2 separate regions of the Mus musculus genome follow, and region 2 is reported to be linked to region 1. Evidence: microRNA targets listed by miRTarBase, many of them from high-throughput screens and not tested one by one. Region 1 holds a microRNA gene; the other region holds the end of a gene's coding sequence.

Region 1 (7,619 bases):
CCCCTGGGGCTGGGGAGGCAGACAAGCAGATCCCGGGAGCTTGCTGGCCAGCCTAGCTGAATTAGTGAGCTCTGGGTTGAATGAGAGGCCCTTTCTCAAACACACGCTGAGCGTGATAGAGGAAGACTCTGACCTCTGTCTCTGGCTTCCACAGGCTTGCATCTGTGCACACGGACCCTCCTACATGCAAACCCCCACACGAACAGGTACGTACCACCCCCTCACTCACAAAAGACAAAATAAAAATAAAAACAAAAAAAGGTCTTAATCAGAGGCTCGTTTGGATTTTTCCAGCTCCCCTTGTCTCCCAGGGCCCTCTCCTAGAGGGGGTTAAGCACATTAAGATGCAAGCAGAGTCGGCTCTGCTCTGCGCTCAGAGCGGGCCAGGGCTGAGCAGATTCTGGTTGTTATTGTTGCTGTCTGTGGCACCCTGAGTGCCTGCCCCAACACCCTCTAGGAGACTCTGGGGAATTTTCCAGAGCTTCAGGGCTGAGTTGAGCACAGATCTCAGAACTCCTAATGTTTGTTTCTTGTTCTCCTTCCCCAGCCTCCTGAAAACACGGATCCCCATCAGCCTAAAGTGGTCTGGGAAATGCTTGGTCTTCCTTACACTGATTCCTGTGTCTTTTTGTTGGGCTTTGGGTTGGAAAACTCTAGAAGAACCTAGATCAAATTTTAGAATTGAACCCTGAGGGTCCAGGCTTAGCTCACCCAGCAAGGCAGCTTCCCTGGCCTATGCAGCACAGCCACCTGCCTTACGCTGAGCTCTGGCTCCTTCAGAGGCCTCTGGCATTACCAGTGCTTCTTGGACAGTGTCTTGTTTCTGAACTTTAGGCCACAAAATAGAACAGACTGGGGTGCCTTTGGACCCAAGGGTAGGAGGACAGAGCTGTACTCCCAACTGAATTAGGAGGCAGAAAGACTGGGGGGTGGGGGGTGGGCATGGCATCCACAGAGAGGCAGGGGTGTGGGAACCCTCTGAGGGTGCCGGGCAGGGGCTGTGGGCCAGGCCTGGGAGCCTCGGGGAGGCCGGCAGGCACAGAGAAGGAGGCCTCCTACCAGACACTGTCTAGACGCAGCAATTATTGTCAGCTCGGAACACCCAGGCTCTGCCTGTGCAGCTGAAAAGGAGCTTAACAAAGAGAGAGGGAGGAAGAAGAAAGCGGAGCAGAGCCGCTCTGAGCCTGCCTGCCCGCCTGCAGCCCGCGGCTCTTTCTCTGCTTGGGCTCCCCCCCTCTTTGTGTTCCACAGGCACTGTTGAGGGGACAGCTCCTCACAGCTCAGAGATGCCTGATGGGGACAGAGCAGGAGGTGCAGCTCTGGGGCCCTGGCCAACTCTTCTGAGCTAGGCTTCTCAGAGTGGATGCTGGGAAGTCTGGGTCTTGTCCACTTTAGAGGGCTCTAGCCTACACCCTTGTCATACTGATGGGGAGCCTTGGGTCACGGAATGACAGCCTGACACCTACCCTCCTCTGCTTCCAAGGAGCCAGGCACTTTGTAGATAGGGTTAGGGGTGGGGGCTCAGAGAACACAGTCAGCCGTGGGGTGGCTTCAGGTCTGTCCTTTAGATCTGGGCCTTATTCTTCTCACCCTTGGGAGGAGGTGAGAGGGCAGGGCCAGCATAGCTTTGATGGGAAGCCCACCCTCCCCCGCCAGGACAGGGTTTCTCTGTGCAGCCCTGGCTGTCTTGGAACTAACTCTGTAAACCAGGCTGACCTTGAACTCATAGAGACCCTCCTGCCTCTGCCTCTTGAGTGCTGGGATTAAAGGTGTGTGCCATCACTGCCTGGCTGGAAGACTGTTATTAGCCGTGGCAGGCCCTTCAGAGCTGGAAGATGAGCACTTTGGATTCCATATGTGTCCTAGAACCTTCCCCCTCCTCTCAGTTGCCATTCCCGAGACCCCCTTGGCGTTGGCAGCAGTGGTGCTCAGAGTGTAGGGGTGGAGCCTCAAGGCCCTGGGTTTCTGCAGCTAAAAACACAGCTCAGGATCAGCAGATGCTCAGACAGAGAAACTGAGACACGCTGTCCCTGAACTCAGTTGCAAGCCACCAGCTGTTCCCCTTATCTCCCTGTTCCAGGGCATCTGGGCAGGGGCTCTGCTCTCAGCCCAGTCTGTAGCTCTAACTCTACCCACTAGCTTAGGCTCATGGAAAGGACCTACTGTGTGCTCAACTCTGCTCTCCTCTTGCCAGCAGTTGGGGTTGGGGGCCGGGTGGGGAGTGACTTGGTGGGTGGGCACCTTCTACATCCTGTGGAGGTAATGAGCAGTCCCAACCTACTGCTGGGGAAAGGCCTGAAGCTGGTCAGGGCTCCAGAGTGACTGGGTAGGGGTAGCTGGGTCCCTCTCAATCCTTCTCAATTAGAGACAAGGCCCTCAGAGCAAGAAACATGCATACCTGCCCTTACATCACACCCGAGGCCTCTTGATCTGTCCCCAGGACCTTCCCAGGCTCCAGGCATCGGCCTGGCCTGCCCGAGGCTCAGCCCTGCTGGCCACACACTGTCTTGTCTGCTGTGTCTCCCAGTACTCAATTATAGGAACAGAACCCTCCTCTCTCCCTCTGCACCATTACCATAACAAACCTGATTCCCCTGCCTATACTGCAGACCCACCGGGATCAGCCGGTCCACCAGGATTCTAGCATATTCTGCAATGCCACTGCAGCTCCCTCAGCCCTCCCCACTGGGTCTTCCTTTCACCTGGCGCTCTGAGCCATCTCTACCAGACCCTCAAATATGCGAAGCTGCCAGCCTGCTCCTGTGAGTTGTCCCCTGCCTCCTGAACAGCACCAGCCCTCCCTGTCACATAGCCAGCCCAGACAGCTTTCTGATTCCTCCCGCATCTGCACTAGGCTGGTCTTCCACCATGGCACAAACCAAGCTTGAGTTCAGCCCCCAGTTCCTAGCCTCTGGGAGCTTTGGAGACCTGTTCTCTCTGCTCCATAAAAGCCTGCCAAACCTTCCAGAGGCAGGAATTGATAGACCACTTGGATCTGAGGCCTGAAGACTGCCAGTCCTGTCTTCCCTGGCTTCGCATTAGTTGAGTTAGTCATCCCAGTAGATCCTCATGCACCCTTCTCTAGGACACTTCTGACCCCTGCTGAGATCACACACACAGCCAGTCTGCCTAAGTCCCTGATATTTCAGCCTTCTTGGGGGCACCCAATGCATTTTTTATGGCTCGCCACGCCTGCGAGCCCTGTGGGCCAGCTGTCTCTGGCTTGTCTCACTCTGTGAACCCAGCTCCTGCTTCTGAGGTGCCTTCCCAGCCTGACACCACCTAGAGGTAGGAGAAGTGACTTGGGCCCACACCCCCCCCCCCCCCCCCCCCGTAAGTGAATCCCTCTCGGCCCAAGCACCAAGGCAACCTCTTTGTCCTCTTTCCCAGGGCCTCCATGCAGACTCCCAGGAGTCACCGTGAAGGCCAGAACAAGGCTGTGCCATTGTGCTGCCCACTGACCTGAGAGCACTCCCAGGAGCTGGAACTGCCTTGTGCCCAGTTCCTCCCTCAAGCCCCCATGCAACTAGGCCAGTCCACAAGGACAGGAGGATGGTAGGTCCAGCAGGGGTGGGTACCCCACATCTATTCCTCCTCCAGAATTGGCCCAGAGCGTTCCCCAACCCTTGCTGTGGGATATCTAAGCCTCATCTTCCTTCCTCCCTGCCCTGCCTGTCCTTTCCCTCCAAATATCTATCCCTCTCCTCTCCTCTCCTCTCCTCTCCTCTCCTCTCCTCTCCTCTCCTCTCCTCTCCTCTCCTCTCCTCTCCTCTCCTCTCCTCTCCTCTCTCTCCTCTCCTCTCCTTGTTCTCGCCTCTCCTCTCCTCTTTTTCTCTCCTCTCCTCTCTTTTCCTCGTCTTCTCTGAGTCCTCCCTGGGCCTCCTTCCTTTCTTCTTCCTGGGTTAAAAATAATCAACTTTCTGGGAAGCGGCAGTTCCCGCTGAGCCGCCCTCCCCACACACGGGAGCCCCTGAGAATAGCTTTCTGCGGCTCTCCACTGAACCCCTCCCTCCCTCCTCCCTCCTTCCCTCCGCCCCCTCCCCGCCGGCTGACTAATAAGCCGGGCAGCCGGCTCTGCCAGCTCGCTGCAAGGGCGTTAACTGCTTCGTGCCCGGGTGGCGTTCAGCATATAGCGACAACAGGAGGGTTGTAGGGCACCAGGCCACACGGAGCCGGAGCTCTGGGCCCGTAGTAGACGTTTAACTAACCCAGCTCTGCTAGGCCGAGTGGTTTGGTGAACTTTGTCATCTAACTACCGCTGCGAGCCTGCTGCTGCTGCGGCTGTTGTGTGGCTAGCTAGTTCCTAGCTTAGGAGGAAGGGGTCAGTGGGATCAGTCAGGAGAGGCACCCAAGGGTCGGGACCACGTGAAGGGTGTGACTGGCCTAGTGACTCCTTGGCCCCGGATTCTGGGAACCATTGCGACGGGGCAGAGGTCAAAGGCAAGGCAAGGCTGCCTGCTGCTCTGGGGATCCATGCAGGTACCCCACTGGGAGGGACTTTGACAATTAAGAAATTACATCTAGGGAAACTGAGGTCCAGGGGGTGTTATTCAGGCTAGGATGCATCTGAACATCTGCAGCAGTGCGTGAGGCTCAGTGCTGCAGGGGGCTGATGATCCCAGTCCCTCAAGGTTGGAAGAAGAGCCGGGATATCAAGGTCAAAGGTGAGGGGTTGCTAAGGAGAGCAGAAAGTCAGAAGGAGCAGAGGGGTCCACTCAAGCCCCACCCACTCTGCGCGTCCTGGCATTACCTCATCACCAAGCATGCCCATTGGCTGGCTCTCCTGGAGGCCGGCCCAATGCGGCGGAGCGCATTAACCCGTTCCTCCCAGCAAGCTGCGCTCTGCCCACACCACCCACCTCTGTGTCCCCCACGTAGCCTGCAGAGCCTGAGAGTTGAGAGGACCGGGGAATAGGTGAAGGAGGTGCAGTCCTACGGCCGCATAGTCCCATGGGTGCTGTGTAACTGGGACATCCCTGTCCTGTTCTGGGCTGTGTGACCTTGGACAGACTGCTGCACCTCGCTGAGCCTCGGTTTGTTTTTCTCAGCTGTAAAAAGAAGTGAATGATGTAACTCACGCCCTTCCTAATCCCTGCCATGTGCTTGACAAATGCGGGGCACACGTGGGCTCTGCGTCCCACGGTGCGCCTGAGTGAGCACAAGTGGTACCATTGGGAAGATGGGGTTTCGGGAGAGCAAACGGCTCAAGGTTACCCCGCCATCTCAGGGCTGCCTTTCTTACAGGCTTCTTCTGCTCTTCAGGGAAGTGTTGCTTCCCGCAGTAGAGGTGGAATTGTGCCCAGCTGCTCAGACCCCAGCAAACCCCCTGTAGTTGACCAGTGACAGAGGAGAGCCTTGTGGTCTCCAGGAATATAAGCTGGGACTGAACCCCCAATGGCAGAGGACCCCTGGGGCAAGCACAAAGAAAGGACTACTGGGAAGGACTGAAGCATAGCAAAGGGTTAGTCAGCTACTGGTCCAGAAGGCTGCTTCTCTGGACTTTGGAAATATGCAGAGACCCACAGGCCTGCCTGAGTGTTTACAAATTATAAATCAGGCTAGCAAGCAGCTAAATCAAATCCCTTCCCTCCACCCTGACAAATCCACCTTCCTTAGGAAAGATACAGGCCTCCAAGGCTGGGTTTGTATTTCTAGCTCCCGGGTTTTTCTGGTGCCCAGAAGGGAGCACACGGTGGCTAGCTTCCTCCCAGGATCCTCAGCTCTATCTACCACCTCTGCTTGTCCTCCGCGGGCTGTGCACACTCAGGACCGAGTGGGCACTGCAGGCTGAGAGTCAGCTGGGGCCACGCCCCTACAGACAGCCATCTGCTGGTCACCTGAGTGCTGAGAGTGCCCACGAGGCAGTTTAGACAACCCTCGGGGCCTCTGAGACCCGAGCTCCGGGGCTCCGACCACGCTGGTCTCTGAACCACCAGTCTTAAGTGGAGAGGTCCTGCCAAGCGCCCTGGGCTGCAAGTGCAGCTGGGGTGGTCTTCGCTGGAGCCAGGGGCTGCTCTCTTGGAATTTCCTTCTGCCCTTTGCTTCTGGCCACACCCACTCTAGCTAGATCGCCACCCCTAAGCCATTGCGGACTCTTCCCAAAGTTCCCGTTCCCACTGCTTCGGCCTGTGCTGTGCGCACCTACCCCTCTCTGCCCCCTCCCAGAGCTCCTCTCCCACATTCCCTGCCCACCTGGTATCCCTCCCTAAAGCCAGCCATGCAAATCTTCCTGGAACTCAGACCAGGCTGCTGCTTCCTTCAGCAACAGAACTGGCTTCCATGTTGAGTTCCCTGCCACAACGTGCCCCACTGATGGCCAGCTTCCCCTGGATGCCACCTTTTTGTCTCATCCCCCTGTGGCTCTGGGCTCCAGCCATTGGCCCCAGCTCTGATTAGGTAGGGCACATTCTGTTCCTTTCTGCGCTGGGTCTTTGCACTCTCCACTTGCTTGGCTTGGAGTCCTGTTTTCTGCCCCTCACCTCCTGGGGGTGGGGCGTCCCTGATCCCCACCCCCACTCCCAGCCCAGCAGAAATCACACAGCAGGAGCTGGTTATCTGCGGAGTATCCGGTGGCCAGCTAGCTTCCCCCCGTGGCCAGTGTGCAGCAGGAAAGCTGCCCGGCAGCCAAGCTTGCAGCTGCTCCTCTGGGTCTCAGCAGAATGCCCAGCATCATGGAGGACCACTGGGTGCTGGAGGGGATCTCTGGATCTCAGCAGGCCCCTGGGCTCTCTAGTCTTCATCAGCACTGCCTCCCGCACAGCCCCCTTTATAAAGGGACCTCATGTTTCCATTCTCCAGGACAAGGACACTACGCACAAAGGTTCTTTGACACAAAAGGCGAGTCACAGACCCAGATCAGAACCCAGGTGGTCCACCTCCCTCCTTCTAGCTACAGACCGAGGGGGCAATATCTTGCTGTGGGTCTTTGGGCAAATGTCTCAACCTCTCTAGTGGAAGCTTTGCTTTGTATAGGACTGGCCAGAAGGGTGGGTGATCATTTGAGATTCTTCCCAGTTAACATGGGGCTGGGGGTGCTGTGATTTGTGACCTTCAGACAGTTCCTCTGATGGCCTGACCTGCAGCTAGCACCTACCTCCAATCATTCTCCCAGGCTTCTCTATGAAGTGCACCCTGCTTCACTGCCAAGGAGACAAGGCAGGGAAGCCTGGTGGTTAGAACACCCAGCTTCAGGGTGGGCCAAGTGCAGATCCTGCCACCTCCTTAGCATAGCAGTGTGGCTTCAAAGGGTCGCTGTCCACCAGGCTCTTCATCTGTCACAACTCATTGAGCCCTGGGTGCTTCCTGGGTTGTGAGGACAACGCCAGCACTTGGCTGTCATGTCAGAATGGACACAAGGGCTTTGGTCCACCTGCCTGTGTTCTCAGCTTATCAGTCAAGTTAACCACGTGGTTGAAGAATGTCATCTCCACTCAGACGAGTTCCCCAAATCCAACTGAGAAGTTGGACCTGAGTACCTGGTCAGACCACCAAACTGTCCTGCCTTTCTGTCTCAGGTCTAGCCTGAGCAGCTATCACTCTGTCACAGGTCTAGCCTGAGCTGCTTTCACTTTGTCACAGGTCCCGCCTGTGTTGGTGTTAGCCTACCAAATCCAGGACTT
Region 2 (7,619 bases), not on the chromosome of region 1:
GCTCCCTCCATCAACCCCCACTGTCAGCATAGCTTGAGAGAAATTAAAAAAAGAAAGCAGGTCCTGTGCCAGCTGCCTCCTGGACCCTCCCTGTGGGTACCTTCTCTTCTGGACTGCGCTCTGGGTTCAGTCCCCAGTACCAGCATCATAAATAAACAACTGAGATGAAACTGGCTCATACTGTTTCCTGTCATCCTGTTTGCCCTCCTTGGTTGCAGCCCACATAGTGCCTGGCATTCTCCTCTCTCTCAGTGTGTAAGAACTCCATGGGAAGAAAGCTACACAAGTGATGTAGGAACAGGGCCTCTTCCTTTGCTACTTGAAGCCTGCTCTTTCCCAACTTCTGCCCTCACAGAAGAGAATGTTTCACTTGTAATTATCAGCATTTACTTGGCTTCAAATCCTGTCTTTTGTGATAGGTGTAAAGTTCTTTTTCTTGTTTATCTGATCCTGCATTATAAAAACATTAATTTCCCTTTTTATTTTAGGGTGGAATTGCTTTTGTTGCCATAAAAGGAGCATTTAAGGTTTACTTCAAACAGCAGCAATATTTACGTCAGGCACACCGCAAAATCCTAAATTATCCAGAGCAAGAAGAAGCATAAAACTGACTTCTGGTTGTTCTGAGGCCTCTCATCCTGACGAGTCTGTTGTGTTCTGATTCCATCATTAATGCGCTAGTGGAGACTTGTGACGCTGCTCCTATATTCTAAGAGATACAATAAAGCACGCAGGGCCGGGGCAAGCCGCCCAGTAATCACGGACCTAAGGACACGCGTCAGCTCTGTCATTTGTATGTTCTACTTTTATGGCAGTCGGCTAAACCATTATTTTAGCATGGGAAACCTGAGTTTGTTCATATTTTTCCAGACAAGAATGTAAAGATAAAACTGTACAAACATTAAAAGTGGACATGTTTTATTCTGACGCCTCTTTTGTATATACTCAGTTCAGTGTTTTCTTAGGAATAGCAACTCGATGAAGGAACTGTGAGGGCTTTTCTCATTGGTGTAATTGATTGTATGCTACAAAGGAGCCTCTGTTAACAGGAGGAAGTGTAAACTAGTTCTGAATAAATAACAAACCCAGAAATGTATGTCAGCATTGAAGTGATTATCTGAACAAAAGAGATTTTGTTTTCTTTTCCTAAACCCATGTGACATCTCAGATGTGAAGGGTCAGTTTCCAGGGCTTCCAAAGCACTTTTTCACTATTAAACTTTATTTATGCAATGTTGACATCTCATAGTTCATAGTGTACTTTTGACTCGTAGTCGTCCTGTGTGTGTGGTGTGAGGGTGTGTGTGTGAGCGGGGAAGGGGACTTCAGAAAGAAGGTAGGAGGGAGGGAAGCAGAGGATAGTGATAGGGAAATGAGGTGGAAGGCCCTTTTATCACTTAGTATGTTTTTAAATTTGTATTTCTACAAATTAGAACTACTGATTCATAGGTTAAGCAGAGAACAACTTGCAAAAAATGATAATAAAATTATTGGGTTTCTGTTGATTCCGTTATTCAGATATTTGTTAACTGGCTCCCACTTACCTAGTCACTGTGCAGGTGCTATGGGATAGAGTTGGGGAACTTGTTCAGAGAGTCTGCAGTCTAATAGAACAAGCACTGATTGAACCCAAGGGAGCTCTTGAATATCAGTGAGGTAATTATGGAGTATTGATCAGGGTCATTGGTTTCCACTTTATCTGTTTATAGGATAGCCAATACTGTTTTTAGGGTATCTTGTTTTTGAATCAGGGTCTCTAGCATAGCTAACCTCAGACTTCCTGTGTATCTGAAGGTGGCCTTGAGCTCCTGATCCCTGAGCCTCCTAACTACAGGTGAGCACCACAACACCTGCTTTTCTAACTTAATGCTGTGGATTGAACCTAGGGCCTTACACATGCTAGGTATACACTACATCACCAGCCCTCCTTTTAGATTTTAGTTGTCATATTAAGGGGGCGATCTCCTTACTAGTCATTGTTTAACTAGTTTTATATTCATTGTTCAAAAGCAATTATTTAGGTCATGTTTAATAGTGACCATTACAATGTTCAGCAATCTGATTAGAATGAAAAATTTTTTTTAAAGATTTATTTATTTATTATATGTAAGTACACTGTAGCTGTCTTCAGACACTCCAGAAGAGGGAGTCAGATCTCATTATGGGTGGTTGTGAGCCACCATGTGGTTGCTGGGATTTGAACTCCGGACCTTCGGAAGAACAGTCGGGTGCTCTTACCCGCTGAGCCATCTCACCAGCCCCTAGAATGAAAATTTTTAAAGTTTAAAAAATAATGCTGTTCACAGTATATGATGCATGATAATGCTCCCCCTTTCTGCGAAATGGATACTTCTCTTTAGAAGTGTAACAAATATAGATTGAGCTGTGTTAGATTGTAAATAAATATTTTAGTAAAGACTGGTATCTTTCTCTAGGTTGGTTATCTCAGTTTTGAGTTTTACGGTGTCTGTGGGAATGACTCTTTTGAACATCCAGAGTTGTAATTATCTAGGGTATAAGGGGCAATTTGACTGAGTTAACCTTAACACTGCTGTTATTCTGTAGAGAAAATGTGAACCCTGATTATATATAAAAATAACTAAGATCTACAGCTGTAATTATGAAATTGGCTTCCATCATTGCCAGTGTGAAAATATATATATTCTGACATTTCCTGGATACTCCTGTTAAGTTGAGCAGCTTTTACACAGCCACAAGCCCTCAGCTCCCTGTGTACTACTTTAATTTCCGGGGTGGTGGTGGGGGGTGGGGAGCTGCTTGGATCGATCTATTGGCATCAAGGCCCGTGAAGGCAGAGGTTTATAGAGCTATGGGGAGGGAGCCACACTTGTCTGCAGTCCAGAGTGAACACTAGCCCTGCTGCATTTGAACACCACATGACAGGCCTCCCTGGAACCACAAATCAAAAGACATGGGCAGACTGAAAGCTGAATAGGTTACGTTGAGCTCCCATCAAGTTTTAGTAGCTGTAGTGTATAACCTTGGCCAGGTGGCTATTCAGCCACAGTTACGTTCATCTCTAAAATGCAAGTCACACCTAGACACTTTCTAGGATTTGGTTGAGAAAAGACAGGTACTTTCGGCCTCAGTAGCTCCTAAAGGTGGTCGTCCCATCTAGGACAGGGCAGTAACCAAGGGTAGGGCCCTCGAGGACAGAGCCAGCACAGACTTGAGGATTTGTGAGTATGCTGTTCTCCGATTTTCTTTCTTTTTCTTCCTTCCTTCCTTCCTTCCTTCCTTCCTTCCTTCCTTCCTTCCTTCCTTTCTTTTTGTCCTAGAAATGTCACATTTAAACCTTTTTTTAAAAAAATTAGAATTCAGTGATTAGTAAAATTCTATTGTAGAAGTTAACTCCATCTAAGTTGGCTGAAAATGTTCATTACTTACCAAATGGTTGAAGAATATATAATTAAGTGGCTTCATTAGTCACTGCCTTGCTAATTTTGCTGTATTTTTTTTTCTAATTCCTTGTTTTTAATATAGAAAACTCAATACTGGCTGAAATAGGTTGAATAAACAATTTTTATGCTCTCTAAGTGTATTTTGTCTGTTGAACCAACCCTAAACTTATTTCACTATTTTGAAGTTAAGTTTTAAATATTTATTTTTAGTTAAGTGTATCTCTATGTGGGTGTGTGCACATTGAGTGCAAATGCCTATAGAGTCCAGAAGGGCACCAGATTCCTTGTGGCTCACAGGTAATTGTGAGCCACCAGACATGGGTGCTAAGAACTAAACCTGCGTCCACTGTAAGAGCAGTAAGCACTTTGTTTTTCTATTTATTCACTTTACATCCTGATCAAAGCCCCACCTCTCCCTCCAGTTCCCCCTTCACATAACTCTTCTCCCATCCCCACTTCCCTTCTCGGAGAAGGGGGAGTCCCCTCCCCCCAGATACAACCCCTGGAACTTAGTATATAAGACCTGCTTCCTCTAAGATACTAGGATCTTTAAAAATAGTGGGATAATGGGGGTGTTGAAAGTTTCATGTAGCCCAAATTGACACCAAACTTTGTATGGAGCTGAGGCTGACCATGAATCTTCATGTCTTACTCTACCTCTGAAAGGCTACGATTATAGGCATGTGCCGCCAAAACCAGCTTGAAGTACTCAGACAAGATGTTTCTAATGTAGGGACTGGAGAGAAGGCTGCAGTTAAGAGTACTTGTTGCTCTTGTAGAGGGACAGGGTTGCGTTCCCAGCACCCACATACATGTAACTCTAGTTTTAGGGAGATCTGATACCTTCTGATCTCTGCAGGTACCAGGCATGCATGTGGTACAAAGACATACAGGCAGGGGAAACACTAAAAATGTTTTAAAGTTTCTAAAGCAGATTAGAATGTTCCAAGTTGAATGAGTCCAAGGCACTTGCATCTTAGCAATTCTGTTGTTCTAAGTTGCTTTATTGCCTGATATACAGACTAGTTGCTGAAACAGTTCAGTGGCCTTGGGTGCATGCCCTAGCTGGTAAAGAGAGATACCTCCCAGACCCAAACCTGATTATTTCCCGGGTTGTTGTGAAGATTAGGTGAAGTGGCTTTTTACAAAGTTTGATATTCAAGAGAGTCTGTACAAATACGTATGCAGTGGAAGTTCGTCCCTAAACTTAGCTTGGGCCGCTGCTTCCCAGCTGCCTGCCTTCTTTAGCTCAGGCAAGGCGGGGAGGGCTTGCATCTGATACTTAACCAGAGCCTTAAGGACCAGCAACAGGCTAGACTCCGTCTGTTCAAGTTAATGAAGCTTTCAAGCCTTTGTGGTTAAGATAACTGTATCCAAAGCAGTAGATACTTGCTGGCCATGCCCCAGGTACTGGTGGATAAGCCTGCATTACTGATACAAGTCTCTTAAAGGTGTTTGTTTGTTTGTTTTTCTTTTTAAGTTTTTTTTTTTTTACTCTTCAATTCTAGCACTAGAATTTCTGCTTCTGGAAGGGGTGCATAAACGCCTTGTGAGGATGAAGAAAATATTCCTTTCATGATCAAATCCTTTCTCAGTGCTAGTTCTTTGTGTGCATCTGTGGTGGGTCGGGGAGGCAGTGTGCTTTATATGGAGGCCAGAGGACAACATCAGGTGTCTTCCCCAACTTCTCCACATTAATGTGTTGAGTCTCTCACTTAATTGGTCAGTTAGACTGGCTGGCTAGAAAATCCTAGACCCACTGGGGTTCCGGCTACACATGGGTGCAGGAGGTGTGAACCCCGCTTGCTCGAGCTTCCACAGCAAGCTCTTTGCCACTTGCACTTTTCCCCAGGCCCGGCATCTTTACCTCCTCTGGGGTCCTGGTTGGTTTTGGTTTGGTTTGGTTTGGTTTTGGTTTTTGTTTTATTTTTTTATTGAAAATAGACCTTTTCATACAATTTTTTTATCTTTAATCTTTTTTTACAGTCCAGTCGTTATCCTCTCCCTGTTCTGCCCTCCAACAGTTCCTCATCTCATTCCTCCATTCCTGTCTCCAATTGGATGGCCCCACCCCCATCCCACCAAAGCCTCCCTCCCCACTCCCTGGGGCCTCAGGTCTCTGAAGGGTTAGGTGCATCTTCTCACTGAGGCCAGACCAGGCAGTCCTCTGCTGTATATGTGTTGAAGGCCTTGGACCAGTTAGTGTATGCTGCCTGGTTGGTGGCTCAGTGAAAGAGATCCAGTGACCAGCCCAAATTGGGATCCACCTCAAGGTCTGACACTATTACTGATGCTATAGTATACATACAGACAAAAGCCTAGCATGGCTGCCCTCCAAGAGTCCCAACAAGCAGCTGATTGAGACAGACATGGATACTGACACCGAACCAATGGACTGAAGTCAGAGACCCCTGTGGTTGAATTAGGGAAAGGCTGGAAGAAGTTGAGGTTGTGGGTGACCCCATAGGAAGACCAGCAGTGTCCTGGTTTCTTGAAGTTAACCTTAGCACCATTTTCTTGGGTGGGGAGTGTGTGTTCTAGGTCCAAAAATGGTCCAAGATCTGTCTGTCTCTACCTCCTGGAGCACTGGGATTTAAAGACACGGCCACCATATCAGCTTATTTTTTATTTTATGCATGCTTTGCCTGCATAATGTATGCATGTGCAATGCATGCTTGCCTGTTGCCTGCAAATCCTAGAAAGGGCATCAGATACCATGGAGAGCCTCCGTGTGGGTGTTGGGAGTACAACTCTTGTCCTCTGGAAGAGCAGTCTGTCCTCTTAACCTCCGAGCCATCTCTCCATCCCTGCAACAGTTCTGTTTGTTTCTTAACTATATAAAACTTTGGGGCTAGAAAGATGGCTCAGCAGTTGAGGGTACTGACTGTTCTTCCAGAGGACCCAGGTTCAAAACCCAGCACCCACATGGCAGCTTGTAACCGTCTTTAACTCCAAGATCTGATGCCTTCACACAGACATGCATGCATGCATGCAAAACGCCAATACACATAAAATGGAAATAAATAATTAAAAAGTAAATAAAACTGCTTTGTGCCACATAAATGTGATACGGGATTAATCAGCATGCCTGTTAATGAGTTTTGCTCTGGTTACTCTAAATGCTGACGATAGCAAACCCCCAGTCCACTCACTCACTCATTCACTCCAGACCCCTTGAATGAGTGCTCCTTTTAAGAATGTGAAAGAAGCACTGGCAGCCATTTTACTACCCTTGACATTCGGCCATTCAGAAATAAGTTTGGTCAGTGGGATCTGCTTGGGAGCTCACAGGTTGTCAGAATTTGTGGCATACTGTTGGGATTAGGCTCTGTGCTCAGCCAGTCTTAATTTCCCAGGAGAGACTTGGATAGATGTTGAAGGCTCTCAGCTGTGCCATGTTCATTCATTAAACTACTTTACATCCATGGCAGGACTGATAGAATGGTAGCAGCCAGGGTCTGTTTCAGCCTCTGAAAACCATCTCAAAACCTCTAGACTAATATCTACTCCTTTACAGTGTCCTATGTCTGTTGTAAAAACAACAAAACAAAAGTTCTACCCAGTTCAAAAGTACTGTTACCATCAACGGGAAAAAAAAAAACCCTAATCTGTATGGGTATTTCATTTGTCTCTGTTACTGGCAAAATGCTGGCCACTTTACACCCAGTTTGTATACGTCCGTATTTCCAGAAGCCCAAACTTATCATCCTCAATGTGGTCTTTCCAAATGGCACAAGAAAAGCACTTCAAAAATATTACATTTTCAGCTATACTCTTACAATTATTATCTTTATGGGTATGTGCCTGCTGTATGTGTGTTCACTGTGTTTCTGCAGATGTCTGTGACTGTGTCCATGGAAACCAGGAAAGTTCATTGGGGCCTCAATCTATGCAAACAAAACAAAGCAAAAAATCATGGTACTGAAACACACACACACACACACACACACACACTGCTCAGTTTGCCCATAATAAGAATAAACAGGGCTGGAGAGGTGGCTCAGCAGTTCAGAGTACTAACTTGGCTGGTCTTCTGGAAATCCAGGTTTACTTTCCAGTGTCCGTATGTGGTTCACATCTCCATTCTAAAGTACTTGACACCTTCTAACCTCCATGGACACCTGGGACCAAATGTGCAAGACAAACATACATGCAAAACAACCATACACATAAAGTATCTTTAAGAGCCAAATTAAAG

The links. The annotated mature microRNA mmu-miR-3089-5p reads UGAGUUCAGGGACAGCGUGUCU and lies in region 1 at 2,018-2,039, opposite strand. An mRNA with a match to its seed (bases 2 to 7 or 8) in the 3' UTR can be bound and repressed. Matches are read on the target gene's strand: a 7mer-m8 pairs with bases 2 to 8, a 7mer-A1 pairs with bases 2 to 7 and ends in A, and an 8mer does both.
Region 2: the mRNA of Marchf5 is a reported target of mmu-miR-3089-5p. Seed matches in the 3' UTR shown: 7mer-m8 at 2,198-2,204.

Annotation. Positions count from the first base shown.
Region 1 is chr2:30,715,642-30,723,260 of GRCm38, reverse strand. Mir3089 (microRNA 3089) reads right to left here and starts at 2,051; the gene lies at 1,968-2,051. It overlaps Gm14488 (a long non-coding RNA gene), which reads left to right and starts at 2,074. Exons shown (of 4, transcript XR_866106.3): 1 at 2,074-3,288; 2 at 3,391-3,555. Gm39782 (a long non-coding RNA gene) reads left to right here. Exons shown (of 3, transcript XR_866107.2): 2 at 155-206; 3 at 548-1,698.
Region 2 is chr19:37,220,902-37,228,520 of GRCm38, forward strand. It overlaps Marchf5 (membrane associated ring-CH-type finger 5), which reads left to right. Exons shown (of 6, transcript NM_027314.3): 6 at 489-3,556. The coding sequence ends at 605. Among named protein-coding and RNA genes, the nearest start is that of Gm25268, 8.8 kb to the right of the region's middle.